Macaca fascicularis: one gene and its partners. The protein of the gene in region 1 purifies or fractionates together with the protein of each later gene. This does not show direct contact. Links are inferred from orthologs where the notes say so. Each region holds a gene or a part of one and is shown on either strand. Other genes may lie near its edges.

Region 1 (6,032 bases):
AACTTTACATTTCGTGGTGTTATGTCCTTGTCTATTGCGGAGATCTGCAGGACCAGCTGGGGTGTGGAAGACAGGAGATAGTCAGTGATGGTGGTGGGGTGGTCTGAGGTTTAGCGATGGAGCCCTTGGGTTTAGACCTGACCATGGCTGTTTCCCACCTGCAACACTCACCTATTTAGTTCTTCATAAAGCCACTCTTTCTACTCCCCTGCCCTGCCAATATACTCCCCATACATTCTCTCTGAGCCTCAGTTTCTCTACCTGTACAATGGGCATAATGTTATTTTCCTCAAGGCTATTGTACAGGGGAACTCTTGCTGACTCTGTTGAGCAGTTCTGCCCCTCAGCCTGCCCCAGGGTGGTGCTGCCTTCCCCTCCCACCTGAACCAGACTCACCTGGCCATGGGCAGCATTCTCACACACTTTGGGCTGGTAGGGCTGGGCAAACTCCGGGGCATTGTCATTCTCATCCAAAACTTCAATGTGGACTTGCACAATGGATTCTTTTCCTGTGGGGGTTCCTGCAGGGGAGAAGACTGTCACCATTATGGGCTCAGCTGATGCTGGCCCTGGGGGTGGAAGATGTGTGGAAGGAGGGCTGCCCTATGGAGGCCACTTTTTGTAGGAGGAGAATGTGGAACAGAGGCCCGGGATGGTGTTCCGGAAGAAAGGAGTTTGGTGGAGGGGGAGGTGTTAAATCTTCATCCATAAGGTTTACTGAGGTATTACTTTGATTATGAGAATCAAAAAGGTAAACCACCTAAGTGCATTAAAAATATTGTAATTAAATTTCTAAAATTAAAAATTTAATTATTTGATTAAATATCTAAAACCTAATAAATTAATCATAAAAGAATTGAAAAGGTAAACAACCTAAGGAAGATTGGTCAGTAAATTAGGCCACTGGAAAAGAATGAAATATATGGCCACTGACAATGCCTATGTAAATTACATCTTAAAAATATAATTAAAAAAATTTTAAGGCCAGGTGCTGTGACTCATCCCTGTAATTTCACACTTTGAGAGGCCCAGAAGGGAGGATTGCTTGAGGCCCAGAGTTGGAGACAAGCCTGGGAAACATGGTGAGACCCCATCTCTACAAAAAACTAAGACATTTCCTGGGTGAGGTGGTGCATGCCTGTAGTCCCAGCTACTCAGGAGGCTGAGTGGGAAGGATCATTTGAACTCAGGAATTAGAGACTGCAGTGAGCTGTGATTGTGCCACTGCACTTCATCCTGGGTAACAGAGTGAGACCCTGTCTCTCCCTTAAAAAAAAAATTAGCACCATGAGAAAGTGGTTCTGGAATAAGGTTAAGTAAAAATGCGGAATATATTATCTTACACAAACATTACAATCTCATGTAAGTATAAAAATATGTATAGAAAAAACAAAAATACAAGAATGTGCTAACAGTAACTGTCTCTGCATGGTGGCATTGGTGGGAGGAGTATTTTCTTCTCTTTTTCTGTATTTTCCACATTTTAAACTATTGAAGTATAAAGATTCTATTAATGGGATTATGTGGAGGAGAAAGAAGCAAAGACTGATCTGGCCAAACATGCAGGAGTCCATTACAGTTTGGGGCAGCAGCTGTGTTGGCAGAAGTGAGTCTGGGTGGGCCTGGCAGGCTCCAGGGATCCTTGGCCTAGTGGGCTCCTGGGTAAAGTGGAGTATTAATAATTCTCCTGGAGGGTGATTGTGATTTTCTCATATAGATAAAGGATGCAAAACTCCAACTCTTGCCCCTCCCTCTGGCAAAAATTACCCAATTTCTGGAGAACCTCACAATCTCAAAGTTGGAAGCTGCTTCACATTTTGAATTCTACCTATTAACTGGTGCATAAACACCCTCTGAGGGAACATTTCCCAAACAGCCATGATACTAAGAATCATGGGACCCTTGTTAAATCCACATCTCTGGCTCACTGGACCAGAACCTGCAGGGTGGAGTAGAGCTTTATGCTTAATAGGTGCCTTGGGTGATTCTCGTCACAGACACATCTGCACAGCCCATTTCATGACAGTGCTTTTCAAACTGTGACATGCATGAGATTCTGATTCAGTGTGGGGGTGAGGCTTGAGATGCACTTCCAACAAGGTCTCAGGAGATGTTGATACTGCTGGTTCAAGGACCACACTTAGGCATGGAAGCTCTATAGCATCCCAACCAGCGGGTGCTTCAGCAGGCACTTCTAATACCCCTTGAGACCCCAAATGATTGATTATGCCAGTTGGAAGAATGAAGGAAAAGGAAAAGAACCCAGGTGCCCTGGCAGATGCGGCCACTCACCAGTGGAATCCAGTTCTTTGGCCTCCACAGTCAGGTTATACCAGGGGTAGACTTCTCTGTCCAGTTCTTTCTCATTGTAAATGTCTCCCTTTTTTGTGACTCGGAAGAACTGGCCCTTGTCACTGGTCCTGCGGATGGAGTATCTGCCCAGGGGAGAGAGTTTCATGGCTTTCTAGTGTTCTTTGCTGAGTCTACACTCCTCAGCATGATGGACAAGGCCCTTCTGCATCTGTCCCCTGCATCCCACTTCATGCCCCTCTGTCACTGCTCATTGCACTCTGATACTCAGACAAGAGTGGACCTACACAGAGAGATTCAGGATAACAAGATAATATCTTTGATCTTAGTTACATTGCCATCACTGGACTGAAGGTGGTACCTGAGACCATCAGATGCATGTTCAGAGCTGAACAGGTGACATCACACCATAGCTGGGACTTGTTTTAGTGATGAATGAAAAGATCATTGGGCAAGAGCCAGGGAGGAATACAAAAAGAGCTGGAAGAAATATGAAGTAATTACAAAGAAATTAACTTTGTGAAATAAAAAATTTAAAAAGTTATTTCAGAAATCAGGAAAAATCTATTGAAAGATTATGTTTCGTGTATATAGGAATAATAGTTGCTACCAATGAGGAAACTCCCAGAACAAACAGAGCAGAAGAAATAACAAAAAAAAAAAAAAAAAAAAAAAAAAAAAAAAAAGAAAAGAAAAGAAAAGAAAACTTTCCTGATCTGAAGAAAGTTTTGAGCCTACAGATTATAAGGTGTCATTGACATCAGGCATCATTGAAAAAAAAAACCCAATATTTAGGCATATCCTGATGACACGTACGAATTTCAAGGCTGTCTGAAGAAATTGAAAAGAGTCCAGACAGAAAGAAATAATTTCCTTATGAAGAAAGAAAAATCAGATTTGCCTCAGATGCCCCCACAAAATTAAATACTAGAATACATTGACAGTATTTTTGAAGGGAACTGTTTATAATCTGAGGATTATATGAATGCATCTAGGTGTTATTAGAAGGCAAGGTTGGGCGTGGTGGCTCACACCTATAATTTGAATGCTTTGGGAGGGGCTGAAGCTGGAGGTTTGCTTGAGGCCAGGAGTTCAAGACCAGCCCAGGTGATAGAGTGAGACCCTGTCTCACCAAAAAAAAAAACAAAACAAAACAAAACAAAACCCACAAAAAAAAAACAAACAAAAAACACACAAAAACATTAGCCTGGTGTGGTGGTGTGTGCCTGTAGTCCCAGATACTCAGAGGCCGAGGTGGGAGGGTTGCTTGAGCCTAGATGTTCAAGGCTGTAGTGAGCTATGGTTGTGCCACTGCACTCCAGCCTGGGTGACAGAGGAAGAACCTGTCCCCGCCATCCAAAAAAAGGCAAAGAACTAAGATATTTGTGTCCTGAATTCTTTTTTGAAAACTTACTGTATCTAACTAAACATCTCAATATAAGGTAAACACCTGGTATGGGAAGAATTAAAACAAACTATTGATTTGTTTATCATACATAGAAAAGCAATGGGTGTGTGTGTATGTATAATAGTTTTAACTGGAAAATATAGGTCCAAGGAAACATTTTAAATTTTGCAGATGGAAGTAAATCTCACTGGTAGAAATAAAAATGGAAGCACCTCATCCAAATACCTAGGAGAAAAAAAAAAATAAAGAAACATAGACTGTATAGCAAAGCTGGGGAAAAAGAAAAAAGCCATTAAGTTTGATAAATGAGAAATGTAAAACAAGATAAAAGCAGTAAGATCAAACATATCAATCATGATGAAAAATGTAAATAGGTTAAACACGAAGCATTTCAGTTTAGATTAAAAAGCAAAGCCAAATGCATTCTTGTTTTCAAGAGACAACTTAATGCCAAATGACCTGAAAAAGTTAAAAGTAAAAGTTGGAAAATTTGCATTAGGCGAATATGAATAACATGAAAACAGGACTAACAAATGTAACATCAGGAAACAGAATTAAAGGCAAAATATTTAAGCAGAACAAATTGGCCAATTACATTCGGATAAAAGTTACAAGCCATAATGAAGGTAAAATAGTTGCCAGCCTTTGTTAACTGAGTGGAAAAATTAAAATACATAAAGTCAAAACTTAGATATTCTAGGAAGAAGTGGACACAAATACAATTGTATCACATCACAGAACAAGCTAAAGCAAAACCAAAAAAATACCCTATGACTTATAAATGAAAATAAAGAAACCAAGTCAATCTCTTAAATAAACTCTTGGATCAAAGGAGAAACAAAAATTATAATTACAGGCTATTTAGAATAGAATGGCCATGAAAAGAGTAGTCCTAAAACTTAGGAGATGAGGCCAAAATGTAAGAACATATTTTGTCCTTAATAAGAAGACTTAATACCCTTGAAAGATTAGCTATACCAAAATTAATATATAAACACTAATGTTTATAATATACAAACATTAGAATTCTAATGTTTTAAAAAAACCTGGCTACAAAATTTTAAATTTCACAAAAGAAAAAATGAGAGTTGACAAAAAATTATGTCAAATAAAAAAGCAACAAGGGAACAACTTTTATGTATATCTAAGGTCTAGTGTAAAGCTATATGGTTTGGATCTATGTCCCCCCCACCGAATCTCATGTCGAAATGTAATTCCCAGTGTTGGAGGTGGGCCCTGGTAGGAAGTGGATAGATGGGGCAGAGTTCTCATGAATGGATTAGCACCATCCCCTAGGTTCTGTTCTCATGATAGTGAGTTATCATGAGATCAGGTTGTTGAAAAGTGTGTAACAACTCCCTTCCCACTCCTGTTCTGGCCATGTAAGACATGCCTACTTTCCCAGGATTGTAAGTTTCCTGAGGCCTCCCAAGAAGCAGAAGCCACTATACTTCCTGTATAGCCTGTGGAAATGTGAACCAATTAAACCTCTTTTCTTTATAAATTACCCAGTCTTAACTATTTCTTTATAGGAGAATGGACTTATACAAGCTAGTAGAATAAAATAGAATGGCTTTGCTATAGAACAATAGATAGGACAGAGAATTAGAAGTAGATTCAGGTATATACAGAGAACTTAGTATATAACAAAGGTGGGAAAATGATAACTTATTATTATAATATTTAGTAAATGGTGCTGGCAAAATCTGCTATTCATCTGCAATAAAATTAAATTTAATTGAATTTATACTTACTATTGCATATTATATGGCTCTAAAAAGTATCTGTTGGAACAATATCATTTTTTTTCTAAATATTGTAAAAGAGAAATTTAGTTAAGATAGAAGAGCAAATATCGATGAAATGAGCATGACATGATCCAAAAAAAATTTAAAACAATCAAACACCAAAAGCAAACAGACAACAACAAACCCACCACAAATGCATCCATATATTTGTGTGGTCATGAAAAGAAAGGAGCAATAGGACCAGGTCAGGCCACGAACATGAGTTATCTGACAGTGGGGGTTATCAATGTTTTCTTGGTAGATCTTTGTGTTGTTTCACCGTATGAAATGAACACTTCTTACTTTTGTGGTTTGGGGGAGATAGATTCAAGAATACAGTTTTAATGTCTCTGGTGTGTCATCTGATTGGTTGCTCTCTTGACTGTCAGATCTTACCACATAGGACTGGTGAGAGCTGTGGTGCAGAGAACAAGCCTTCAAGGCGGGACAGAGGACAAGTAGCTCTGGATGCCCAGGACCATGCTAGGTGGGGGAGCCTGCGCAGGTCAAGATGCCAGGCTGCCAAG
Region 2 (6,801 bases), on another chromosome or scaffold:
GTTTCTTAGGTGATTCTCCCTCATCAGAACTATTCATAAATATATTCCACATAAACTTGTTTGGAATTAAAAAAAAAAAAAAAATCACAAGCATTATACTATATCCACTGGAGGGCACTCAACATGACCCAAGCATGCAATGAAAACATGCTCCAACACTACTCACAAAGTTGAGGGAAACTTTGAGACTGGGGAATGTCTCTTAACAGAAGAGATGCCTCTAAGTTAAAAAAAAAAAAAAAAAAAAAAAGTGGCTAAACCCTAAAAACGGGTTCCTAATGTGATTGACTTTATCTTTCAAGAGCTTCTTTTTCCTTAGGGAGAAAGCAAATTATATGCATACCTCAAGGACAGCAGGGTTCAGGCCTCAACAGATGAGCCTAGGTTTCAAACTGAGTCAAGCTCAGTCTTGCATGAAACACAAAAGCAGCATTCTTAAGTAAACAGAGGAAATAAAGAACTTTCCCCGAGTTTAAGTGATGAAAAACTATAGGAGTTAACTCCTACTCATTTCAGTCAACACAAATCATATTATATTCCTTTTGTGAAACCTGAGAAGTATGTATTTATTTTAACCGATTGGCCCACTTACCTATCACAATCACAACTGCAATATTACATAGTCTGTTAAAGAAGGACAACTGAATCTGCAAATCAGTATCTTCTCAATGAGGGTACAAGGAGGCAATGGCTACATACGATGGACAAACCAGAAGCAGCTCCTGGGCTATGTTTACTATTCACTTTTACGGTATAAAAATGTTCTCAAGCAGTTTCAACAATAGATACCACAGTTTCAATAAAAAGAGGGCTACAACAAAACTAAGTCAACACAGTATTTTCAAAAACAATGTCACAAATCAACATGACACACTACAAAAGAGTTGCAAATACCTTTTGTTAGAAGTTTGTCCAGTTCTAAAAGCCTTCATCCTTTGTGTCCTGGGTTGGCAGTCAAGCATGCTTCCGACTAAGCTCAAAGTACAAACTTAAAACTTACCACCTACTCATCTACAATTATTGATTATCAGCAACTAGGAAACCACAAGAGAAATAAAAATAATCTTATAACAGGACAGATGTATTATTTCATTTTAATAACACTGAAGTTTCATTTGGCTAAATATACTTACATAGTCTACTGCAGGAGATTTCATTTCACTGCTACTTATAACTACAAAATAATTATATCAAACTTTTAATTCTCTACATCCCTAGTTTCAACAATACTTAGCATGCGCCTCTCCCCACCTCATCCTATAACAAAAAAGAGTATCTGCAAGAGTTTTGCTAACACATTTCAAAATACCCTTGAAGAAACTTGTCTCCTCGTTTTCTATCTTGGTGGTGGTGTTATGAAAACAAGCATACAGACCTTCACTTATGCCAATTTTTATTCCAGTCATCAACGGGAACAGTAAGCTCAGTCTGATAAATTTTAATATTGGAAATACACTTTTCTATATCATGTTAGTAAAGGAAATAATCAGATAACAGTTTAAAAAAAACCCTCTTCAATACTCTGAAACCTGAACACTGTTAAATGCTTCATTTTTTTATTAGCCACCTTTTTTTTTTTTTTTTAAGTCGGTTTTTCCCGAAAACTTTTAAATGACTGTTCTGGTCTGTGGGAGACTCAGGACTCCACAGGACTCTAAAGTTACATGCTATACTAAGCTTTCTAGCACAGGTTTTTACTTTTCCCCACCCCCAGGACTTCAAACTTGAATAGTCTCAGTATTCCTTTAATCCTACAGAATAGACTTCTGAAAGTTTTTCAAGTTACTGTTGCAATAATCTCAGGGCCTTGTCCTTGTACATGGCCTTCAGAACAAAGGTTAGGTCAAAGTAATGAATATTGGGCGCAAATTAGCCACATTTTGTCTGGTGTGAAAGCACATCCTCAAACCCTGAAGGGTACTTTTTTTTTAATTAGAGATTTTCAAAGATCTAAATATAAAAGTAAAATAAATGTCGCACAGCCTCAGTTCAAACGAAAAGCCTCCAAAGTAGAAATGTATGTTAATAATTTAAGCAGGAGATAAACCAGCGGTACAACATAAATAACACTTGAGGCTATATTTAATATTTCTTAGGATGAATACAAGTCAATACGAAGACATCTGAAGGTACTGAATGTTCGTTCACCATGTGACAAATACTGAAATGGCTACCTAAATTCCAGACAAACTACAACTTAGCGATCTGAAAAACATTAGCCTAGACTTTATGAAAGGAAATGCTGCCGTCTCTTTAAGTTGATGTCTAGCCTAAGCCACCATTATTCAAGATACAAAGCTCCCATTTCACTAAAACCACTCCTCGATTTCCTTTTGCCGACCTCTGCATACCAGCAGCCTAGTCTCTCTTCATTCACCACTCACAAACTCGAGGGGTGGGGGGCCGGGGACGGGGGAAGACCACAGATGTCTGGAAGATACAAAGTATGAGACAATGCTCCCTCCAAAAGGGAAGAGAACGTAAGGCAACAACTACACCCAACTGCCAAAGCTTTCAAGCTTGGCAGATTCAGAAGCAGGCTATAGGAACTTAACTTCGAAAAGTCTCGGTTCAAAGTCCTCTCTCCAGACAAAACACTCAAAGAAGTTGCAGTGCTTGAATTCCATTTGGCCAGTTTTGGAGCGAAGGGAAAATTCACTCCGCTGAAAAAACAACATCCTCTAAAACCCAATTTTAGCTGCCATCAAACTAAATTTTGAATAAATTTAAATTATTTCTACGAACAAAATTCTCGAAGCGTTCTGAGTCAGAGGCTGAATCCTGCAGTTCACTTGGTAAAAAACAGTAAGCCATCACCTTCGCCTTCCTCCACCCTCTTATTTCACCAGGGTCTCATGCCCACTACCATAAATCCATAAGACTCTCAGTACATTATCCACTGTTTTCACTCACCTGCACAGTACACTAAAATATAGGTGCAAGACATGGATTTTTCATGTGCACACCCTACTGACGCATCGCACCGGCTGCACTAAGAGTTTAGTTACTCTAACGTTTCAAGTTGCTTCGATTCAAACTCACATAGCTAGGGTATTAAAAAAAATAATAACACTTCTATTCTTAAGAACGAAAGAAGAAATCTTAAGAGAAAGTCCACTGGTCCGATCCCCAGGACTGATGGGACCTAGGGTGGCGTCCCTGCCTCAGCGCCCGAACCCCAACTCGCCGCAGGAGCTGAGAAGGCGGAGCCCCCCGTCCCCACCCCGCCCCCCACCCCGGCCCCGGCGCATCCCAAGGCACAGGGTCCCTCCCCGAAACTCGGCCAAGGCCAGAGCCCCGGACGGAAACCACAGACCCCCACCCCCACCCCGCCGGCCATCCGGGCTCCTGGACGCGCCCCCGCGGCACCCCCTCCCCGCAAGCGATGCCCCCGGGGCCCCCGAGAGGCAGCACGACCGGAACCCGGGCCCGGCCGCCACCCTCCGCGCCCCGGGCGCGGCCCGCCCCCACCGTCCCCTACCTGAGCCCCCCACTCCCAACCCCAGGCCTCCCGGCTGCGCCCAGCCCGGCTCCCAGCCCGCCGCCCGGACCGCGCGCCTACGACGAAGTTTGGCTCCGAGAGGAAGCTGGAGCAGCCCCGGAAGGATAAGGAAAGGAGCGCCCAAGCACCTCAGGGGAACAGGCTCCTCCCGTCGCGGGAGTCCGACCGTCCTCGACCTGCGGTGGCGGCTCGGCGAGGACTGAAGCTGCTCCTCGGACCTTCCTCCGTCTCCGCCTCCCCTCGCTCTCCGCTCTCGGGGCCGGGCCAACACGGCTGCCACAGACCAAGAGGCTTAAAATGGCGCCGCACAAGGAGCTCTTATAAGTCGCCCAAAAGCTGCCGTATCCTGCCGCCGCCGACGCAGCGCGGAGCGCGGAGCGTTCCGCCGCGCGAGGACAAGGGGCGGGGCGCGACAGGGCGGTGGAAAGTAGTCCCCGCGCCGCCCAGCAGTCAGCCGCCGTCTGAGCGCCCCGGGCCGGGGCGGGGTGCTGGGGCACGCTACGGACGCTCCCCGCGGTGACGGCTGGCGGTTGCCCGCAGCGCGGGACCTGAGGGCAACTCTTGAGGGCGCCGTGGTCTGCGTCGGGGAGGCCGGGCCCCCGCGGCCTGGGTTGGGGAACGTGGCCCCGGTATCCTCCCCTGTCCCAAGCCCGTCACCCCCGCCCCCCGCGTTTCCCGAACCGGGAGAGCAGCTGCAGGACTCTGCGCGCCTTTCCCGCGGCCTGCGGAAGGTGGCACCTCGGCCCTAGTCTTCGGGGACCGCACGGGGTGGACGGGACAGGTCCTGGGAGGGCGGAAGTTCGGGGCCAGGGCGGCGGTAGGGGCTCGGGGTCAGCGCCCGCCCGGCTTTGGGCGCTGCCGGGTGCCGCCGCTGCCCGGTCGCCGGCCTGCGGGCTCTCTGACCGGGCGCGGGTTAGGGGGCTTCGCCGACCTTGCGGTCTGTGCCGCACACTCGCTGCTGGACCTGGGTCGCAGACCAGTCTCACAGCACCCCCAAAGCCCCCCACTGCCCGAATGGTGGATCCCACCTCTCAGCAGGCTGTTCAGCTTAAATTTCAACCTGAATAAGCGGGCCGAGCCGCCTTCTATCCCCACTCACGAAGGCTGTAAACTCTTCGTAGAATGGGCGCCAAGCCCTCAATTCAACAAGTCCTTATGAGTACCTACTGTGAACAAATAACTAATGGAAATGGATTAGCTCCAGAGCGCTGTCAATTAGGTTAATTCTTATAGATTCCATTTTTATCTGGTTCCACTTGTCACTAGGTATCAATAGATTTATTTGTGGGGATTTTTCTTTGAAGAAAAAGATTTTTACGGTATTACTTATTTGAGAAATACAAGTATGTTTATAGAGAAAGCTATCGATTAGGCAGCCTCTAATTTTTTAAACTAATTTTCTATTTAAAAGCATTTTGTAATTCATTTCAATAAACTGAAAAATGTTTCCCATTGTAATCCAGCAAAATAGACGCTTGTCAAAGCTGCAACAATTATGATCGATTCACTTTCTCTAGCCTATTGTTTGTGCTTATTTTTCCTCCAAAACATTGGAGAGAGTACAAAAAGCAACAGTGAAAGTTACCTCTATGCTTTTATCCCAGGACTACAATTAATACAAGCAAACAATAGGTCTTAATACATAGATGCAGGCAGAAAACCCATTTATTCATTCACTCATGGAGGTGGGATGTGTAGTTTAAGCATAGCTCATGTTTCAGGGCCAGCATATTCTTTAAATAACTTATTTTTGTCTTAAAGATATTTTACTATGTAAGTGGTAATGCCAACTGCTGTCTGTCACCATAGCACATGTGGGCCACTGCAGTGGAAAAAGTGTACACAGTAAGATGATGTTCAATGAGATCCATTGTCTAGAAAGACCTTCTCATTTGTATCTTTCCTACTAATTCTGTAGAATTAAGTATAGCTATTGGTTGTGGTCACAATTCAAAAAAAAAAAGGAACCGAAAAAGGCATTTCATCAAAGCCATGTTTCTAATACAAACTCAAAAGTATAAATGGCGTTTTTAGGTACTGATTCCTAATTTTAATGGTCATTTGGAGAATTAAGGAATATGCAGTTGATTAAAGTCATATATTAAAAATCAGACGACAAATTAACCACTTTTACAGGGCCTTTTTTTTTTTAAACATGTTTGCTTTTTCTATGTGCAGCTTTTTTGTTGTTGAATAAGGCACTCTTGAAATTGGTTAAGAAATATCTGCACCATTAGAAGATCTAAAGGATAAAAACATTTCTGTATTTGTATTTCTCTGTTCCATTATCAAAATAATGGAATCATTTTTCTATAATTTAAATACTTTAAATTTAGAATTATGATTTTTAATCCCAATTGGCACCATAAACAAATACATATTATTAAAGAAAATGTAAAATTTGCAACAGCGCAGCTTGCTGTTTTTCCCATCATATTAAGTGTACTGAAGAATTACTGGTTGACTAGCATTAAAGCAAGTTAAATTTAACATAGCTCCTAATTTTTATTTGCATGTTTCATAAAGCAGAAATTGTTCTAGTTGTCTCATCAAAAATAGGAGATGAATAACTTCTATGTAATGAAGACAAACACTATCATTAAATCAAAGAAAAATACATTATCAAAATACCTGAGTGTGGTAAAATAAGTAATTTTGTAAAATAATTTTTTTAAATTGACTTTGGACAATACATTTCATAAAAACAGTTGGTTATCTGTTTTATGCCTTTTCCTTCTAGAGCCAGTCACCCTGGGTTTGACATAAATTAATTTTATAAAATGGCGACAGACAAGTTGTTCTAATTTTTAGGCTGTGTTCTTAGAAATCAAAAGTGTCTCCAGCTAGTTTAAAAGAGAAGGTATTTCTTTTCACGCTATCAGGCCACTGGCATATAAAGCAGTGGTAGATCGAACCTGAATGTAAGGCATCCCTTCCCTAAAACAGAGGCTTTTGATTACCTTTAAGAGAAAAAAAAAAAGCCCAGATTATTTCACACTTCAGACAGAAATATAAATCACAGAAATATGCCAGCATTGTAAAGAAGGTTCGTTCACTTTTACTTAACTCTATCAAATCCATTAATTAAACATTTATTGAGCACCTAGGACAATGAGCTTCCCTTAGAGAGAGGGAAATGGATGACTGGCTCCATGTGATTAAGGCTCTTAAATTAATGTAAAATTGTATCTGTTAACCCTATTTAAAAAGAAGCAGAAACGGTAGAAAACAAGCTGTGAAACTAGGGTGTGGTCTCCCTTGGACTCTACATCCGAATCCCCTCGGAAGGCTCCTCTTCC
Region 3 (6,032 bases), on another chromosome or scaffold:
AGAAACATGTTCTATATTACAGCTCAAAATAAACATACAGATCATGAAATAAGGTTTTGTAAAGCAATATTTAACGATAAGCAATGCTCTCCGATCTATCTATACCAGAGTTTTTCAACCTCAGCACTACTGACATTTTGAGCCAGATAATTCTTTGCTATGAGGAGCTGTCTTGTCTATTGCTGGATGTTTAGCAGTATACCTAGCCTTTACTCACTAGATGCCAGTAGCACTCCCTCTCCCCTGTTCTAAGTTATAACAACCAAAAACATCTCCAACACTACAAATGTCCAAATGTCCTCAGGGCAGGACAGGCAAAATGGCCCACAACTGAGAAGCAATGGTCTATATTACTTTTTCTTTATTCCTTTCCCTTGGAATGCTGATTATGCTCCACAAAATTGTGTTTTATTCACTAATGGATCACACAAATAGATCACAACCCACAATCTGAAAAACTACTGCTCTAAATAAAGCAAGGACCACAAGCTTAAATGTCTATATGGGCCAAGCAGGTGAGTCAAGAGAGGAAGATATTTAAAAGAAATTACAAGCATGTGAAAAAATAGCAGTTGACAGCTCCATGTTTGGGAAACAACATCCTAAACGGCTGTAGTTGGTCAGATAATAGAATGTGTTGGAGATTAGTGTAAATTAGAGAACACATGCTCCAATCAGTTCAGACCAAATACTGCTAGAAAAGAAAAGAGATCCATTGTTAACAACTTTTCCACATTTTTAATAGAAGCCAAGAATCTGGAATTTTAAGTGAAATCTTCTGAATTTTAAACATCAGCAACCAGTTCTTTAAAATTTCAAAAATGCTGTGTGATCCAAACAAATCTGTGAGATGGATTTGACCCAAGGCCACCAGTTCACAACCTTTCATCAAAAGTAAAAGGTCTGGAAATCCCTCTAGTTCTTAACATCACTAGAGAGTAACAGTGACTTAGCAATTTTCCTTAGGCCTAGAACTCACCGGTAATGACTTCAGTAAGGTCCATATCACGAGCCTTTCGGAGCAATCGCACAAGGGCAGGCACACCATCACAGTTTTTTATGGCAATCTTGTTATCCTGGTCACGTCCAAAAGAGATATTCTTGAGAGCTCCACAGGCTCCAAGGTGCACTTCCTTTTTGGGATGGTCTAACAATCCCACCAGTACTGGGATGCCCTTGAGCTTCCGCACGTCAGTCTTCACCTTGTCATTGCGGTAGCATAAGTGTTGCAGGTATGCAGCTGCATTGGACTTGACAGCATCCAAGCGGAATCCAAGCATGGCGATCACCTCTGGCAGCTCTGGCTGTCTCCAATTAGGAGGTGGGGGCCCTCCTTTGCGCAGGCTATCCAAGCTTGCTAAACTTCCTCGCTCATGCTGGGCCAAAGGAGCCCAATAGTATTGATCCGATGGCACCTCCTCACCAATCATGTCTTCGTAGCTCCTGAGAAGTTTTGGAATAACCAAGAGAATACATCAAGTCATTATGGCTAGCTTCCTGGACATTCCCATTACCCTCATCTGCAAAGCAGGATTAACTGGAGTTTCAGTGTGCTCATCTTCTCTCTCCTTTGCATGAATAATATACTGATCAATTTTCCTCAATGGGTTAGGAAAAATAAAAGGTAATAATCTTAAAGGCACCTACAATTTAATTAAAACTACACTTTTTTCTTTGAAGTCTGCAGGGTTAGAAAGTAACAAGCATTCAGGAGAGGCTAATCAAAAAGAAAGAACCAAATCCTTATTATTTATCATTTACTTGAATGATACCTGACAGCTATTAACTTTTCTAGGTAGAGATCAGGATAAACTCTCAAAAAGCAGAATTAACCAAAGCAACTGACTCAATGCCACAGAAGTCTGAGAACAGTTCCTTAACCAAACAGGAAATTAGGCATTTACACACAGGAAACAACTGGCGGGTTAAGACCTTTAAATGCATTTCATATTTAAGCTTCTCCTTATCCTATTTTGGAAATTATAAAAGATGGATTGATAGAGAAAAACTAATAAAGGGCTTCCTGCTACATTATAGGAGGATCTGGGTTTGGTACTGATGAGGTATAAACTTGAAAAGTAATTTTCACAGTCATCCCAAGGTCATGTCTGCTACTCAACAAATGTGTTAGCGGTAAGATTCCATCCTCCAATTTCTAAAGACAGTACCTCCAGTTCTTTCAAAATTGAGCCTATTCACCAACATCACATTTGGGAAGCCCAGCCACTAGGAACAGAGAAAGCAATTGAAAGTAAGAAAAATCAAACCAGGAGACAATTCTTCCTGTTTCAGTACTACCAACAACCACTAGAGGGTGAGTCTGTCACACTATTATTTATTCATAACTACCAGGAAGAAAGAAACCCATTATCTGTGAGCTCATCTCTTCTGGCTCCCACAGGAGAGGAGAATCTATTGTGTGGAGCTCTCCAAATAAGCCGTTGTTTGTTCTACAAAACCACTCCCACTGTCACCAAATACTCAAAGTTGCCCTGAGCAGAAGGGCTGCCTCACAGGTATCAACATCAACTATGCAACAGTGATTCAGATGGACAAAGTATTTAGTAAAACATGACCAAGATGGTCTTAAAATAACACGGAAACAGGACCAGGCGTGGTGGCTCACATCTGTAATCCCAGCACTTTGGGAGGCTGAGGTGGGCGGATTACCTGAGGTCAGAAGTTCAAGACCAGCATAGCCAACATGGCAAAACCGTATCTCTACTAAAAATATAAAAATTAGCTGGGCGTGGTGGTGGGCACCTGTAATCCCAGCTACTTGGGAGGCTGAGGCAGGAGAATCACTTGAACCCAGGAGGTGGAGGTTGCAGTGAGCTGAGATCGCACCACTGCACTCCAGCCTGGGCAACAGAGCAAGACTCCATCTCAAAAAACAAACAAACAAACAAACACAGAAACAAAATGAATAGCTTAGATAGCTAAGTTTTAAAAGTAGGCTATTGAGCAGTATGTTAAGATTTCCTTTTTGTAGAGGGAAAATAGGATACAGTTACATGTACAATAAAAAAACCTCAAAGGATATGCACCAAAATGTTAACAGTGGTTCTTTATTAATAGATGGTATGCTTTTCTGGGTTTTTCAGGCTCCGTATTGAACATGCTTAACCTCTATTATTAATATACAAAATTATAAGAACAATTACCATAACCAAAATTTCCAAATAACTCTATCTTATATCTTTTTCTATATAGAGGCAGTGGATTGGGCATTCTTTCCTCTGTTTTACAAGTAACAAAGCTGTGCCCAGGAAGACCAAATGACTTGCTTGAGGCTACTTAGCTAGTGGCAAAGGCACAACTAGAACCAAGGTCTCAGGGTTCAGTGCTTTTTCCACTAATCACTGCCTCACTGTTTAAGTTTGACCTCGTATTACTCTTCTAGCCTGGAACAGGAAGCAGCAAATATTCTTGCTAGTCAAGCAGGTTTCCAAGTCCATTGCTACCCTGGAACAAACCCAAGAACGGCCCAAAACTCTATGTGAACTAGCACAACTAGGGACGGCAGAGAATGACCTGGCCACCCACACCCATCTGGGTCCAATCACTCTTTACTAATGAGGAAGTCAGAAAAAGCAGACTTGCAGTAGAGCCAACACCCTGGACAGACTGCTTCAATGATGGCTGTTATCTACCACTGTTCTAGGTTGCACCAGCCGAGGTCTGGTGCTCCTGGAGGAATAAAAATGACTCACATGGGAGTTGGATTAGCTATCCAAGACACCTGAAAGGTGAGTGACTCAGTCTTAGATAATGGGGCCTCTACCCCTGGGCCCAGCCCTGTTCACTCTTAACCAAAGCTACCTAATATATGAAGAAAATTAGCACCAAGGCATTTGCTTTAAAAGGTCATGACCCCATATAGAGAAATTCAGCAACAGCTGCTAGGATATCCTTACCATCAAGACAACCATAAATCATCCCTTGTTTCTTATCATTTCTCTTTGTGTGGAAAACACTGTTTCTAATTTATTCTGAAGCAGCATTGGCAGCCCATGGGCCAAACCTGTTTTTGTACACCCCCAGAATGCTTTTTATATTTTTAAAAGATTGTTTGAAAAAAAGAACAACAACATATGACAAAGATGATACATGGCCTGCAAAGCCTAAAATAGTTCTACATGGTCCTTTCCCCTTAAAGCATTCTCTCAAGGCAACAAGGCAAACCATATACCAGTCCAAACATCAATCACTCCCTTTTTTCACATCACCAAAGAAATCTCCAGGGACAAGTAGTAAAGTCAGAGTAGGCAGCTGCTTAGTGACCTTTCAGAGTGTTGCTAATGTACCCCCCAACCCCCACTCAAGGATGCCACCACAATTTCACTTTACAATCAAATAATAAGACCCTAAGCACAGAATGTCAAGGCCCTTGTGAGGTCAAAGTTTGTTTTTAACTTTGGGATTAAAAACACCACAAGAAAGTTCTTATATATATCCTTAACTGTCTCTTTTGGTCCTGTATTCCTAAAACCTTCAACTCTGTTTTGTTTTGTTTTGAGACAGTCTCACTCTGTTGCCCAGGCTGGAGTGCAGTGGCGGCATCTTGGCTCACTGCAGCCTCTGCCTCCCGGGTTCAAGTGATTCTCCTGCCTCAGCCTCCTGAGTAGCTGGGACTGCAGGCACGAGCCACCACACCCGGCTAATTTTTGTATTTTTAGTAGAGACAGGGTTTCACTATGTTAGCCAGGATGATCTTGATCTCCTGACCTCGTGATCTGCCCGCCTCAGCCTCCAAAAGTGCTGGGATTACAGGTGTGAACCACCATGCCCGACTGACTCTGTTCTTAATACCAAACCAGAAGCTAAAGAAATTCCCAAGAAGAAGTGAGCAAGAATTCCATGGCCCCAGACATCAGAATCCTCTGCCTAACACCAAAAAGGGGTCACATCTTAGCCAGAAACAGCAAAAACTTGAGCATAGAAGCAGAAGCAAAATTCAGTCTTCAGGACACAGACTAATAACAATCACAAGTTGTTTTCTTTTTTTTTTGAGATGGAGTTTCGCTCTTGTTGCCCAGGCCGGAGTGCAATGGCACGATCTTGGCTCACCACAACCTCCACCTCCCGGGTTTACATGATTCTCCTGCCTCAGCCTCCTGAGTAGCTGGGATTGCAGGCATGTGTCACCATGCTCAGCTAATTTTGTATTTTTAGTAAAGACGGGATTTCTCCATGTTGGTCAGGCTGGTCTCGAACTCCAGACCTCAGGTGAGCCACCTACCTAGGTCTCCAAAAGCGCTGGGATTACAGGCATGAGCCACTGTGCCTGGCCCATATATTCAAATTATAGAAAACAACTTGTGGACCAGGCGTGGTGGCTCACGCCTGTAATCCCAGCACTTCTGGAGGCCAAGGCGGGTGGATCACCAGAGGTCAGGAGTTTGAGACCAGCCTGGCCAACAAGGTGAAACCGCATCTCTACTAAAAATATAAAAGTTAGCCGAGCGTCATGGTGCTTGCCTGTAGTCCCAGCAACTAGGGAGACTGAGACACGAGAAACACTTGAACCCAGGAAGTGGAGGTGGCAGTGAGCCAAGATGGCGCCACTGCACTCCAGCCTGGGTGAAAGAGGAAGACTCTGTCTCTAAAAAATAAAATTAGAAGTCCGGGCGCGGTGGCTCACACCTGTAATCCCAGCACTTTGGGAGGCTGAGGCGGGTGGATCACGAGGTCAGGAGATAGAGACCATCCTGGCTAACACGGTGAAACCCCATCTCTAATAAAAATGCAAAAAAAAATTAGCCGGGCGTGGCGGTGGGCGCCTGTAGTCCCAGCTACTTGGGAGGCTGAGGCAGGAGAATGGCGTGAACCCGGGAGGCGGAGCTTGCAGTGAGCCGAGAACGCGCCACTGCACTCCAGCCTGGGCGACTGAGCGAGACTCCGTCTCAAAAAAAAAAATAAAAAATAAAAAATAAAATTAGAATATATTATTTTCATTTAAAAAATTATATATATAGTTATATTATACAGATATACATTTATATTTTATATATATAGCAAGTCAATACTAA
Region 4 (5,812 bases), on another chromosome or scaffold:
GTGACCTGATAAAAGAGATGCTACCCAAGCGCTCTGAGGGGTGAAGGGCTTTCGAGAAAGCATCCTATCTATGTCTACTCTTAATTCCTCTCTGGGGGAAGAAAAGGAAGTTTTGTTTTATTTTGAGACAGAGTCTTGCCCTGTCACCCAGACTGGAGTGCAGTGGTGCCATCTCGGCTCACTGCAACCTCTGTCTCCCAGGCTTAAGCAATTCTTGTGTCTCAGCCTCCCAAGTAGCTGGGACTTACAAGCACCTGCCACCACGCCCGGTCCCAAGGAAGATTTTTAAAAATTTGTTCCCAGTGAGTGGCCAGCAAAGGGGAGGAGGCCAGCCTTTCAGCCCTTGCAGTGGCCCACACGTGTCACAGTTCTACAGGGAACAGATGATGGACAGACCTTGGTCTCCGGAGGCTGGGACAGGACTTGGGGTTTCTGCTCAGCACACTTTCCCAGGGCAGGTGTGTATGTGGATAGGAAGTGACTTTCATTTCTGACAAGGGTCAGCACGTTCCCACTGGCCCTCTTTTTTCTCAGCTAATGCTTACCCCAGAGACAACGAGCTCCCCGCCGAGATTCTGCACCTCGGCCTTGACCTTGCTGCAGATGTTGAGCTGGTGGCAGTAGAGGGCGATGCGTTGCAGGTAGGCCAGCAGGTCCTGCTTGCAAGCCGAGTCCGGGCACTGAAGGGAGAGCACGCTTAGCACCGAGCACCCTGGCCTGGACCAAGCACCTCCCACCCCATGGGTGTTTCTTAAAGGTTCAGGGTGGCACTCACATGCTTCCTGTCCTCTTGCTGGAGCAAAATCACCCAATTACCTGAGGCAGTCACAGCCCTTGCCTACACTCTGCTTGGGGATGGAGGCAGGTGATCTGATGGAAGTCGTTCATGGGACCCTGGCTGTGCCGCACGGCACTGGTTGTACAGCCAAGGCCTTCTGAGCCTCCCGCTGACTTCCCTTCTGTGACAGCAGGGAAACCACTCTGGCCAAGGATCCCCTCACCCCACATGGCAGGGTGGAGGCCTGTGCCCCTCAAGGTGAGAACAAGCCGGCTCAGCAAGTAGGAGCCTGGCTATGGAGAAAAGTCCAGATGTTTTGAGCTAAGTAAACAAATAGCTCTTCTGCTCCGATGCACTTTGCGTTATTAAGGCCTGATGACAAAAGCCACTCACTGCAGGCTGAGGTGGAGGATAAATGAGTAAAGAAAGCAAGAAAAAAAGCAGTCAGGGATGGTCAAAGAGAAAAGGGTGGCCCCTGCCCAGTTCCTGTCTCCCCCCATATCTCAGGGTTTTAGAGGCTCCCAGATTAGGACCAGCCTAGAAAGCTTTACCCAAAGGAAGAAACAGAGCACCTCTTAAGTGTTCATAGCAAGCAAAGTACACCACAGAGAGTGGTATGAACTGAAACCCTGCAGACCATACTGGAGATGAGCTGTATTCTAAGTAGTCATGGAAGCAGGGCAGCCATGTGATTTGCATTTTCAGATGACAGTATTGGCAGCTGGATGCAGAAGGAAGTGGAGAGAGGAAAGAATAGGAAATCAGGAGTAGCCGCAGTAGTCCAAGTGGCTATGGAGCTCTGCAGACAGGACAAGACTGGTTTGTGTTGAGATACATTTGGCTAATGGAAGCAATAGGCCCTATTACCGATTGTGTGGGAGTCAAGGATGCCTTTACAATCTTTGGCTTGAGTAAAGAGGGACGTCTCACACATCCTGTGGCCTAGATGAGGCTGAGAGTTTTGATATTTCAGGGAAGATGGTGGGGAGGTTTGTTAACTACAGAGAAAAACTATAACTGAGAAAGAGCCTCTCTTGATCAGGCTTAAAACACCAAATCAAACATATTGTACATTTCCAGGTGATATGAACCATATTTTTGTACCTATCACAGTGTGAGGGAATAGGGGGATGACGGCAGGGTGACTAAGAGCCACAGTGCTGAGGATGAAGAAACCTGGCCCCATCTGGGCACACCATCCTTCCACAGCACTGGCCACATGGCTTCTGGCTGCCCTCAGCCCCTGCCCAGAGAGGGAACTGAGACATAATAGACAACAGCAGAGGTTAATTTGGCTACAAGTGACGGAAGATTCCAGGACATCCACATCTGCTCTAGAGAATCCTTACGAATCTATGCTGGGATTAATAAGAACCATTTTTAGAGATGGGTGGCAAAAGTGCTGTGGCCCATGAAACTTACCCTGAATGGACCAGGCTGGGCTGCCTGAGTCCCAGAAGGAGCTTGGAGACCCACCTGGCAGGTCTGTCACTTACGTGATTTGCGATGGTGCGGCCAAGCCTGTCCATCCTGGATCCTGCCTCAGCAATTTTCTTGGCAGCACTGATGACATCTGACGTATTTTTGAGTGGTCCTTTACCTCTGAGAAGAGAGAACAAGGATCATTGTATGCGAAGCCCCTCACAGTTGGAGATGAGTAGAAAACAGATGTCCACAAAGCCCCATGGCCTGGGCTGTCTAAGCCGCTGTGCAGGTGACCTAAAGAAAGTGGCCCCTGTGCAGCCTGGTGGGGCCAGGGTGCTGCTCACCGGGTGAAGTCAGTCATCTCCATCATAATCATGCACATCTGCTTGGCCAGCACAATGATGTCATTGCCACTGTCATCCCATTTGGACACTTCAGCATCCAGCTTGCTCTTTTCTTCCTGGAAGCTGGCCACCTGTTCCGCAATCTTCGCTTTTTGCTCCTGGGGAAGCTGAGCCATGATCGCCTGTGATCAGAAGCACAAAGAGCTCTTACATAAAAAGAATATGAAGTTCTCAGAGTGCATTAGCCAAGAATATTTCCAACAGGCAATCTATGGCATAGGTAGGATAATGCTTTAACAGATTTCATTTTGCCTAAAGGGCTATTTCTCTCATTTTTTGCAGACACTTACAGCAGCCTGAATTTCCGACCCACTTTCGAGCACAAGTTTTAGTGTGGAAGCAAACAGCGAGGGGTGGAAGGCTAATGCGGAAGCTTTGGAATCACAACTGTGCAGGGACAGAACCTGCTTTTTAATTCTTTAATATAAGACAAGAAATGAGAGAAAGGGTTGATGAAAGTGTGGAACCCTTTCCCTGGTGGACATTTCCAGCTATTCAAGGTGAACTGAAAGTGGCTTCAGAATGTACACCTGAAGAAAGAGGGCTGAGCACTAAGGCCATACTCGAGCAGCACCTGGAGGCCTGCTGCCCACCTCCAGCCCACAGACCTGCGGCTGAAGCTCCTCCCTCTCAGCTTCCCAAAGTGCTCATGACGGAGCAGGACATAAGGCAGCGATGTGCTCGCTGTTCATGACAGATTTCCAAGGAGTGAAATCAAAGACTCCTTAGAAATATTTCTTGGCATCCTCCCCAAAACATAAATGCTATTGATTGAAGATTTAATGACTCAAATGAATGCAATGGCTCTGACTGGCTTTCTTGAATGTACCACTGTTATTTTTTTAAACCCATGAATAATTAAATAGTTCATACCCATGGCATCACTGAGATGGCTAAAGGCAGCAATCTTTTTCAAATTTCACGATCCTTTCAACAAACACTGCATTGACTAAATTTCAGCCCTTTCCTGACCCAGGGCTCTATCGTAAACCAAAGCCCCAGGGCACTGCAGAGGAGGCCCAGGACCTGGTCTGTCTCTAGCTGAGGAGGCTACAAGTGACTAGCAGGTGCCACAACTTAGTTTAACTTCAGTCTACTGCCAGAGAGAGAGAAATGGTGTTCTGAATACTGAGGGTGTTTTCCTGGAAACAAGAAAGGGGACAGGGAAGGTGGCAGCACAAGCTGAACTGCCCCACAGAGCGCTTCCTTACCCGGGCACTCTGGCCAGCTATCAGCTGATCGTCTTCTGTCTGGACGCTTGTCCTACTTCTGACATCGAAATCTTCTGTCTCAAAGTCAGAGTCATCCAACTCCTCAGGGGTCTGCCACCAAGACAGAGATCACAAGTCAGACACATCTCTGGGTCACAGGCCACCAGCCCCCAGCCACCCTGAGCCTCTTGGCCAGGTGCACGGAGGCCCAGAATTCTGGATTTTAATGTGCAGTGTTCTGAACAGTATGATGAATAAAGTCACAATCACTCAGCATTTGTCTCGAGCCTCTGCTTCACTGCTGCACGCGCTGGGCTGCCTGGCCCACAGCAGGCCTGCGCTGGCTTCACTGTGTGTGGGGCTCAATGGCTATCACTGAGTCAATTCACTATTTCTTTATAAGACATAAGGTTGTTTTTTTTCCTTTGAGACAGAGTCTCGCTCTGTCACCCAGGCTGGAGTGCAGTGGCGTGATCTTGGAATCAATGCAACCTCCATCTCCCGGGTTCAAGTGATTCACCTGCCTCAGCCTCCGAGTGGCTGGGATTAGAGGCAACACGCCACCACGTCCGGCTAATTTTTGTATTTTTAGTAGAGACGGGATTCCACCATGCTGGCCAGGCTGCTCTTGAACTTCTGACCTCAGGTGATCCACCCCTGCCTTGGGCTCCCAAAATGCTGGGTGGGATTACAGGCGTGAACCACCGTGCCCGGCGACATAAGGTTTTTACTTCCTAATTTACTTCCCCAACACCTGTATTTTAAAGACAAAGATGAGAACTGTCCTGGATAGAAAAGGTACTGACTTAAAAATAGAGGTGTTTTGTATAGTATTAAGCAGATTTGTTTAACTTTCCTACTTTATGACAAAAAGAAAATTAAATAACTGAGCCTTCTGTTAGGGTACCAAGGCTGCTTGGAGGAGTAAAAATAGGCAATTTTAAAGTATTCTTTTGACTTTCATCAAAAGAAAAGAAGGGAGAATATGACAGGTAAGGGCTGAGTAAATACCCAAGGGACTGATTACTCGTCCTAGCTCTTTGCTTTAATTATGAAATAAAATTCTTATTTTGTACCAACTACCAGCCTCTCATGATTAGCTACTGACTTGAAACATAATGTTGTCCTCTGGCAGTTATCAGTAAGGGGGCAGCAGGCAGAACAGCTGGGGTTGGCGCTCGGCCCAGCCGGCTGGCCTGTGACAGGAGGGCAGTGAGGCGAGTCCCTCATCTGTACCAGGATCTAGTCCAAGCGCAGCCCAAGGACTTGCTGTGAGGTTCAAACAAGAAGATATGCAAGAAACATTCCGGAGCCACCAAGAGCGTGCTGCGCAAAGGCTGGGCCTGTCCCTTGATGAGGTAAGGAGTGGATGCTCACTCAGGTGGCACCAGACAGCATGTCCGCGTGAGGTCCTGGAGGCCGACGGACTTGGTGACACAAAACACAATGCCAGCACTGACGGTTTTAACACTGCAGTCACACATGCCTTCGGGACTGGCATGCAATCAGTTAAGGGGCTTTTCAAAGGACCACCTCCTAACATCATCTCTGCCTTCCCAGGACCCCATCGCAGACCCAAGAACCGTTCTTGCCAAGAAAACCGAGTACTCTCATTCATTCATTCATTCATTCATTCTCTCTCTGCCAAGCATTCTGGGCCCTAGAGATACAAAGTGACAGACAGATAAAAATTCCTCTCATGCCTATTCTAATGGAAGAAATGGCAACAAAGTAAGCAAATGAATTATATGACACATCAAAAGTGGCCAGTGTATAAAGAAAGCAGAGAGGAATAAAGCGAGGTTTTAACTCCATGCGGGTGTTAGGAAAAGTCTGATGAGAAGGTGCTCTCGAGGGGTAGGCGGGGCGGGCGGCAGCATTGAGGCTGTGGGGAAGGGGCGTTGGCCCAGGGAACTGCGTGAATAGCAAGGAGGCCACAGAAGGGGGGCTTAGCTCACTGCCCCTATGTCACCGGCTTGCCTGGAACCCCATGA
Region 5 (6,599 bases), on another chromosome or scaffold:
TTTTATTTTCTGTGTTCACCAGTGCCTAACATAGAGTTGACACTGAATACTCAAGTGCTGAATGAAGGAATGTTTGTAGGGTCCTTGGCACACCATACAACCACGACCAGCATTCATGTCATCAACCACAGAAAGGAAGTGCCCTTGTCTTCTTAAGCTGCCTGTGAAAAGTTCTTTTTATGTTTTTGAGACAGAGTCTCACTCCGTCGCCCAGGCTGGAGTGCAATGGCATGATCTCAGCTCACTCCGCCTCCCAGGTTCAAGTGATTCTTCTGCCTCAGCCTCCTGAGTAGCTGGGATTACAGGTGCCCGCTGCCATGCCGGCTATTTTTTGTAGTTTTAGTAGAGACGGGGTTTCACCATGTTGGCCAGTCCGGTCTCAAACTCCCAACCTCAGGTGATCCGCCTGCCTCAGCCTCTCAAAGTGTTGGGATTACAGGCGCCCACCACCATGCCTGGCTAATTTTTGTATTTTTAGTAGAGACGAGGTTTCACCATGTTGGCCAGACTGGTCTTGAACTCCTGACCTCAAGTGATCTGCCCACCTTGGCCTCCCAAAGTGCTGGGATTACAGGCATAAGCCACCACACCTGGCCGAGAAGTTCTTTCTGATCTCTACCCCAGGCTCTCCTATCGTGGAGGGATGTGCTACCCAGTTTCTTTTTTTCTTTTTCTTTTTGTTTGAGATGGAGTCTCACTCTGTCACGCTGAGGCCGGAGTGCAGTGACATGATCTCAGCTCACTGCAACCTCCGCCTCCCGGGTTCAAGCAATTCTCCTGCCTCAGTCTCCCAAGCAGCTGGGATTATAGTTGCCCGCCACCACGCCCAGCTAATTTTTTGTATTTTTAGTAGATATGGAGTTTCACCATATTGGCCAGGCTGGTGTTGATCTCCCGACCTCAGGTTATCCACCCACCTTGGCCTGCCCCGTTTCTTTCATGCCTGGGTTTCTTTCAGATCTGCTGCTTGATGTTTCCAAGCCCATCAAAGCCTCCTGACACCAATACTGTATTTTTGTGCCAATTAATTGTTCTGTCTCTCCTCCCAGTGTTTGTGCCTTTTCTCTGCCCCTTCCCCCATTGCCTTGACATTTTATGTCTATGCATTTTATGTTCCATGAAGGGAACAGCTGGTTCGATGGTCCTTCAAATGAGAAGGAGGTTCTAGCTTGGGGTGTGCCACTTTGTAGTTTTGTGACTTATCTGAACCTCGGTTTCTTCATCTTTACAATGAGGGTCGTTTTCTCATCTTAACTATTTTTTCAGAGCTGTCACAATAATTAAAACAAAAATATCATTAATTTAAATTCTAACCTTTAGCAGTTTCCGAGTGCTTTCACAAACCTGACTTCATTTAATCCCCACATACTCCAGAGAGGTAGATACGGCTAATGTATCCAGTTTACAGATGAGGAGAAACAGGGTGAAGTAACTTGTCTAAGATCATACTAAGTGGGAGAACACAAACCCTGGTCTTCTAATTCTAAATCCCAGGAGTACTCCATCTTTGGGGGGAAAAAATCCCAACCCAGCACAAAGCCTATGAAATGCTATACAAATATGTGATTACTACTTTGGGGCAAGGATGAATAAGCCCAAAGAAGCATCATGCTTGACGCTGAGTTGGCTGGCCGGTGAAGGCGTCTGTCCCTTCCCTTAGTATCCCCTGACTTACCTGTTGGACAGGTAGGGGGAAGGGGAGAGTAATGAGTCTCACCTGCTCAGAGCAAGGGTGGGGCAAGACACACCCCATCCCTTCCATTGGTTTTTTCCTTAGTCTTACTGACAGCCCCTTGTCCAATCAGGAGGAAGTAACTTTCTATCTGCCAATAGGTGCAGTGTTAGGATGAGACCTCAAGTTAGAGTCCATCCCTAGAGCCGACTGGCAGTCCCTGGGGCCAATGGCAAGCGGATAAACAGAGGCGGCCGTGGAAGAGGACTGGAGGTGAGGCTCCGCCCCTCGACGGGACAGTCAGGCGAGACAGCCAGTGAGCTCGCACCAGAGGGTGGGCGTCTCCCCCAGGGGCGGAGCTTCGAGGTGGCGAGGGGCGTGGCTTGGCTGTCAGGTCTCTTTGCCTTTTGTTCGGTTACTGAGTTGCTGCCTTGGCCAGAGTCCGGAGCAGCCGCCGCCCGACCACGCCGAGCTCAGTTAGCTGCCTGCGCCGGCTCCCACCCCGGCCCGACCCCGACCCGGCCCGGCCAGGCCCCATACTAAGGTGCGGGCGATCGGGAGCAGGTATCGCTGGGGAGAGAAGGGGTGGCGAGCGCCCGCGAGGCCGGTCCCTGCCGTCTCTGGGCAGGTGAGGGCGGGTGCCATGGAGCGCCACCCTGCACCGGCGGCAGGGGGCGCGCTGGGGTCCTGGGCGCGGCGACCTGGGGGTCGCGCGGTTTGGGCAGAGCGCGCCTGGGAGCTCCGCGAGCCAGAGATCTGAGCAGGGCGGGAGGGATCCGGACAGGTGCCTCCGGAGTCGTGCCTCCCCCGGGGCCCGCGCCCCTCGCCCGACGCCGCGTCCCTGACTCTCGCCCTGAGCTGGTGGGGGAGACTTTGCCCTGCTTTGACTGCGTCCCAGGGCTCACGCTGCAGTCAGGAATTTACCGTTTGGGAAACTTGCTGCCGCTGGTCTCTGGGGCCACTCTCACCCCACCCCACGCGTCATCCTCGCTTTCCCTCCCTCCCTACTCCCCCAGGCCTGGGTGGGGCCCTATTGTCTGCGCCCAGCTTGCCCAACTGTGGGGGCCGAGCACACATTTTCCTAGCGACGCTGGCCCCACCTGCCGAGCAGGTGAGCGCACGGAGTCCAGAGGCCCTGCCCTCCAACTCCCAGAGCCTCGTCCATACTACCTGCGGCGCCTCCCTCCACTCCGGTGGGAGCCGGGCTCTGGCTTCTTCAGCGGAGGTGGGATGGAGTGACAGTGGTGGGTGCAGGGCTCGACCCAGTGTCCAGCTGGTGTGTCTGGCATCCGTGGCTCGCCCTGGAGTCTGGGGGGTGGGGTCTGTGCACGGATGAAGAATTCAGGGTCACCTGGCCCAGTTTCCAGTAGCTGTGGCTGCTAGAGTGTTGGTAGGGGAACAGGACCCGTCTTCTTCTCTAACCTCTTATTGTTGGAAAAATCACCCAAAACAAACTTTGCAGGAGGAAGTATTCACAGCAGCTTGATCTGGGGGTTTTCCTGTCTCCTTGCCCAAAACTTCCTTTAGGCTTAGGGGGTCCTTCTTGGTGCAAAGCCCCTTCCCCTAGCCGGCCCCTGGCTGAACCTGGGCGGGTGCCTGCGCTCCGACCCTGTCTTCCCTGCCCCCACCTTCATCCTCTTCGCTGGGCCCCAGGGGCCTGAGGTGGGGGCCGGGGTGGGGGGTGGAAAGTGCTGAGAGGGGAAGCAGCTTCTTCCTTCTCTTCCTGCCTCCGGGGACCACCACACCCCCTCAGACGAGGCCTGCGTAAGCGGCTCTCTCTCTCAAGCTCTGCCCCCTCCCCAGGAATGGGGGTGGGGCAGGGCTGGGCCAAACTGAGGAAGGTGGGGGGAGTGGTTGTTCTTGTCTTTTTTTTTTCTCTACCCCATCCCCCACATTACTTAGCTGGCTGGTAATTGAGGCAAAAGAGCATGAGGCTGTGGGACTTGCCTTCCATTTGATTTCTGAATTATGAAGGTGCATGCTTTCTGGAGGCCTGCACAGACCTTTCCCACCCCCTTTCCTGAAAGAATTTGACAGGGAAAGTGAGACCGGAGGAAGGCTTTTTGGGGGAAGGTTTCTTCAGTGCTAGACTCCCTCAGGCAGAGCTGCATCGGGCCCCTGCCTTCCCTGCTCCCAATTTCCTGAGACCCCCCCACCCTCCGGAATTGGGAATCTTGACCAGGCTTTCTACCCCGGTTTAAAAAACAATCTGAAGTGTGGTCTTTTTGCAGGATTTGGAGCCCAGCCTCCTTGGGGAACAGAGAGAGAATACCACAGTTGGGTTCTCTCTCAGTCCTAGGGGTGGGAGAAAGATTGCGGGGAGCGGGGATGGAGAGTGCTTGGAGGGGGAGAGTCTACCACCTCTTTCTTTGTTGTAGATGGGGGAGTGAGGCTGGGGGCCCAGACTCAGCCCCTTTATCCTGGGTGGGGATCACGCTCAGCCCGGGGCTAGGGGGAAGTCAGTGTGGGAACTCAGATCCTTTTCTGCTGGAGGAGGGGGGCGGTGCACCTCTGGGGCGCAACAGGAGCACGGAGTTTGGGCAAAAATAACCTGCTTTCCCTCTTCTCCCTGCCAAGGTGGAGGAGGGGAGGGCATTGTAATTATGTTGGCTAAATGATTAGTTTAGCTAATCTGGTTTGTGGCTGTGATGAAAAGATAATACTGAGGAAGTACTACTAGGAGGTGCCTGGTGAAAACTGGCCACTGACTGGACTGGGGGACGCGGAGGAGGAGAAGGTAGGACCCAATTAGTCATTTCTTGCTAGATCAAGCCCCAGCTTGGGTGACTTGAGCCCTCCCACCCCCACTCCACCCCTCCCTTGCACCCTGGCTCCACTCCATTCCCTCTGGAACCTCTGGGCTGCCAGGGCTGAGGCTTTGAGAATGCAGTGTATAGGAACGAAAAAGGTCGGGCTAGGGCTGCCAACCTTCTTCCCTTCCTGGAGCCACCTTAGAATGAGATCGGTCAATTGACTAGTCTACAGAAGGACTGTTTGTTTGGAGAGATGGGACAGTGGGGCAGTTCTGAGCACAGGGCTTTGGGCTTGAACTGAGCTGGGTTTGAGAACCAGCTCTGTCTCTCATTACATTGCCTGAGTCTCAGTGACTTCTTTGGCAAAATGGGAATACAACACCTATCTACCCGGTAAGTACTTGACAAATGGTAACTCAAGATCAAGGTCAGACTTTACAGAAACCAAGCACTTTCTTTTTTTTTTGTTTTTTTTTTGAGGTGGAGTCTCGCTCTGTCACCTAGGCTCACTGCAGCCTCCGCCTCCTAGGTTCAAGCGATTCTCCTGCCTCAGCCTCCTGAGTAGCTGGGATTACAGGTGCATGCCACCACGCCCGGCTAATTTTTGTATTTTTAGTAGAGATGGGGTTTCACCATGTTGCGCAGGCTGGTCTTGATCTACTGACCTTGTGATTCGCCTGCCTCGGCCTCCCAAAGTGCTGGGATTACAGGCGTAAGCCACCTCACCTGGCCCAAACCAAGCACTTTCATTAACTATTCTTACTTAATCCTTATGGCTGAACAGGCTGGATGGCTCAAACCTGTAATCCCAGCACATTAGGAGGCCCACAAGGGCGGATTGCTTGATTGAGCCCAGGAATTCCAGACCAGTCTGGGCAACATGGTGAAACCCTGTCTCTACAAAAAATAGAAAAATTAGCCGGGCATGGTGGTGCATGCCTATGGTCCCAGCTACTGGAAGGGTTGAGGTGGGAGGATTACCTGAGCCCAGGGAGGTCAAGGCTGCAGTGAGCTGTGTCACTGTATTCCAGCCTGGGCAACAGAGTGAGTCCCTGACTCAAAAAAAAAAAAAAAAAAAAAAAAAAAGCGGGTATCATTTTCCCCATTCTACAGATGAGGAAATTGAAACTCAAGGAACTTAAGTAATTTCCCCAAGGTTGTACAGCGAGACCCAAGCAGCACCAAGACTGGCGTTTTGGTCCTCTGATTCCAAGCCCAGAACCCATCCTGCTGTATTGCCCCATACAGCTCTGGAAACGATTTTTTTTTTTGAGATGGAGTCTCGCTCTGCCACCCAGGCTGGAGTGCAGTGGCATGATCTCTGCTCACTGCAACCTCCACCTCCTGGGTTCAAGCGATCCTTCTCTTTCAGCCTCCCGAGTAGCTGGGATTACAGGTATGTACCACCACACCGGGCTAATTTTTGTATTTTTAGTGGAGATGGGGTTTCACCATGTTGGCCAGGATGGTCTCGAACTCCTGACCTCAGGAGATCCGCCCGCCTCAGCCTCCCAAAGCGCTGGGATTACAGGTGTGAGTGGAAAGGATTTTTCTGCACCCCCTTTCGAGAGCCTCTGCCTGATTGGGGAGAGGATAATTCAGACGGGCCCATAAAGGTATGCGTGAGTGGTGAATGCAGGGCAGGTTTGGTAGGTGAGGGTGATACCTGTCCTGGCCACCAGCCCTCTGAAATCTCCCCAGTGGCTTGATTTTTAGTTTCCGGTAGAGGAGGCTTCTCCCCAAGCCAGGGCTGCGTGGTGGGTGTTGGGGAAAGGTTGAGAGGAAAAGAGGAGGCAGGGGTCAAAGCTGTGCTGCCTCCTAGCTTGAGTTAGGTAGAACCATGGCTGTTTTGGGCTTGTTCATGTGTAGGAAGTGGGAGTTGCCTGCTTTGCTGGGGGCTGGGGCTATGCCAAGATAAAGGGTGCTGCCCTGTGGGGAGTGGCGAGAAACGAGAGTCCAGTTTAGGCCTGGGCTAATGTCCTGCTGGAGCGGACCAGGCAGTGCTGCCAGGCTGCTCTTGATGGGGAACTGGCTGTCCTCAGCTCTGAAGCCCAAGAGACCTGAGATAGGCAACTGCTGAGAGGGCCTTTCTGGTGATGGAGGTGGGGGTCATGTGTGCTGCCTGTCAGCCAGAGCCTTGGCCCTCTAGGGAGGAGCTGGTGTCAGATTGTCCT

What was found.
Region 2: the proteins of CDH5 (region 1) and CTNNB1 purify together in Homo sapiens (affinity purification with western blotting; 11 studies listed by BioGRID and IntAct, counting the BioPlex papers as one, with this or other methods). This does not show direct contact. The link is inferred for Macaca fascicularis from reciprocal best matches to the Homo sapiens genes CDH5 and CTNNB1.
Region 3: the proteins of CDH5 (region 1) and CTNND1 purify together in Homo sapiens (affinity purification with western blotting; 3 studies listed by BioGRID and IntAct, counting the BioPlex papers as one, with this or other methods). This does not show direct contact. The link is inferred for Macaca fascicularis from reciprocal best matches to the Homo sapiens genes CDH5 and CTNND1.
Region 4: the proteins of CDH5 (region 1) and CTNNA1 purify together in Homo sapiens (affinity purification with western blotting; 4 studies listed by BioGRID and IntAct, counting the BioPlex papers as one, with this or other methods). This does not show direct contact. The link is inferred for Macaca fascicularis from reciprocal best matches to the Homo sapiens genes CDH5 and CTNNA1.
Region 5: the proteins of CDH5 (region 1) and JUP purify together in Homo sapiens (affinity purification with western blotting; 3 studies listed by BioGRID and IntAct, with this or other methods). This does not show direct contact. The link is inferred for Macaca fascicularis from reciprocal best matches to the Homo sapiens genes CDH5 and JUP.

Annotation. Positions count from the first base shown.
Region 1 is NC_088394.1:62,398,924-62,404,955, reverse strand, and holds part of CDH5 (cadherin-5), read right to left. Parts: intron 2,436-6,032; coding exon 2,293-2,435; intron 522-2,292; coding exon 397-521; intron 57-396; coding exon 1-56. UniProt on the Homo sapiens protein: Cadherins are calcium-dependent cell adhesion proteins. They preferentially interact with themselves in a homophilic manner in connecting cells; cadherins may thus contribute to the sorting of heterogeneous cell types.
Region 2 is NC_088376.1:104,042,809-104,049,609, reverse strand, and holds the start of CTNNB1 (catenin beta-1), read right to left. Parts: upstream 3,797-6,801; 5' UTR 3,631-3,796; intron 3,181-3,630; exon of another isoform or gene 2,914-3,180; intron 1,035-2,913; exon of another isoform or gene 895-1,034; intron 1-894. UniProt on the Homo sapiens protein: Key downstream component of the canonical Wnt signaling pathway.
Region 3 is NC_088388.1:15,799,762-15,805,793, forward strand, and holds part of CTNND1 (catenin delta-1), read right to left. Parts: intron 1,444-6,032; coding exon 980-1,443; intron 1-979. UniProt on the Homo sapiens protein: Key regulator of cell-cell adhesion that associates with and regulates the cell adhesion properties of both C-, E- and N-cadherins, being critical for their surface stability.
Region 4 is NC_088380.1:145,427,601-145,433,412, reverse strand, and holds part of CTNNA1 (catenin alpha-1), read right to left. Parts: intron 4,095-5,812; exon of another isoform or gene 3,930-4,094; coding exon 3,819-3,929; exon of another isoform or gene 2,890-3,818; intron 2,730-2,889; coding exon 2,548-2,729; intron 2,381-2,547; coding exon 2,275-2,380; intron 681-2,274; coding exon 546-680; intron 1-545. UniProt on the Homo sapiens protein: Associates with the cytoplasmic domain of a variety of cadherins. The association of catenins to cadherins produces a complex which is linked to the actin filament network, and which seems to be of primary importance for cadherins cell-adhesion properties.
Region 5 is NC_088390.1:62,818,843-62,825,441, reverse strand, and holds the start of JUP (junction plakoglobin), read left to right. Parts: upstream 1-2,092; 5' UTR 2,093-2,300; intron 2,301-4,375; exon of another isoform or gene 4,376-4,409; intron 4,410-6,599. UniProt on the Homo sapiens protein: Common junctional plaque protein. The membrane-associated plaques are architectural elements in an important strategic position to influence the arrangement and function of both the cytoskeleton and the cells within the tissue.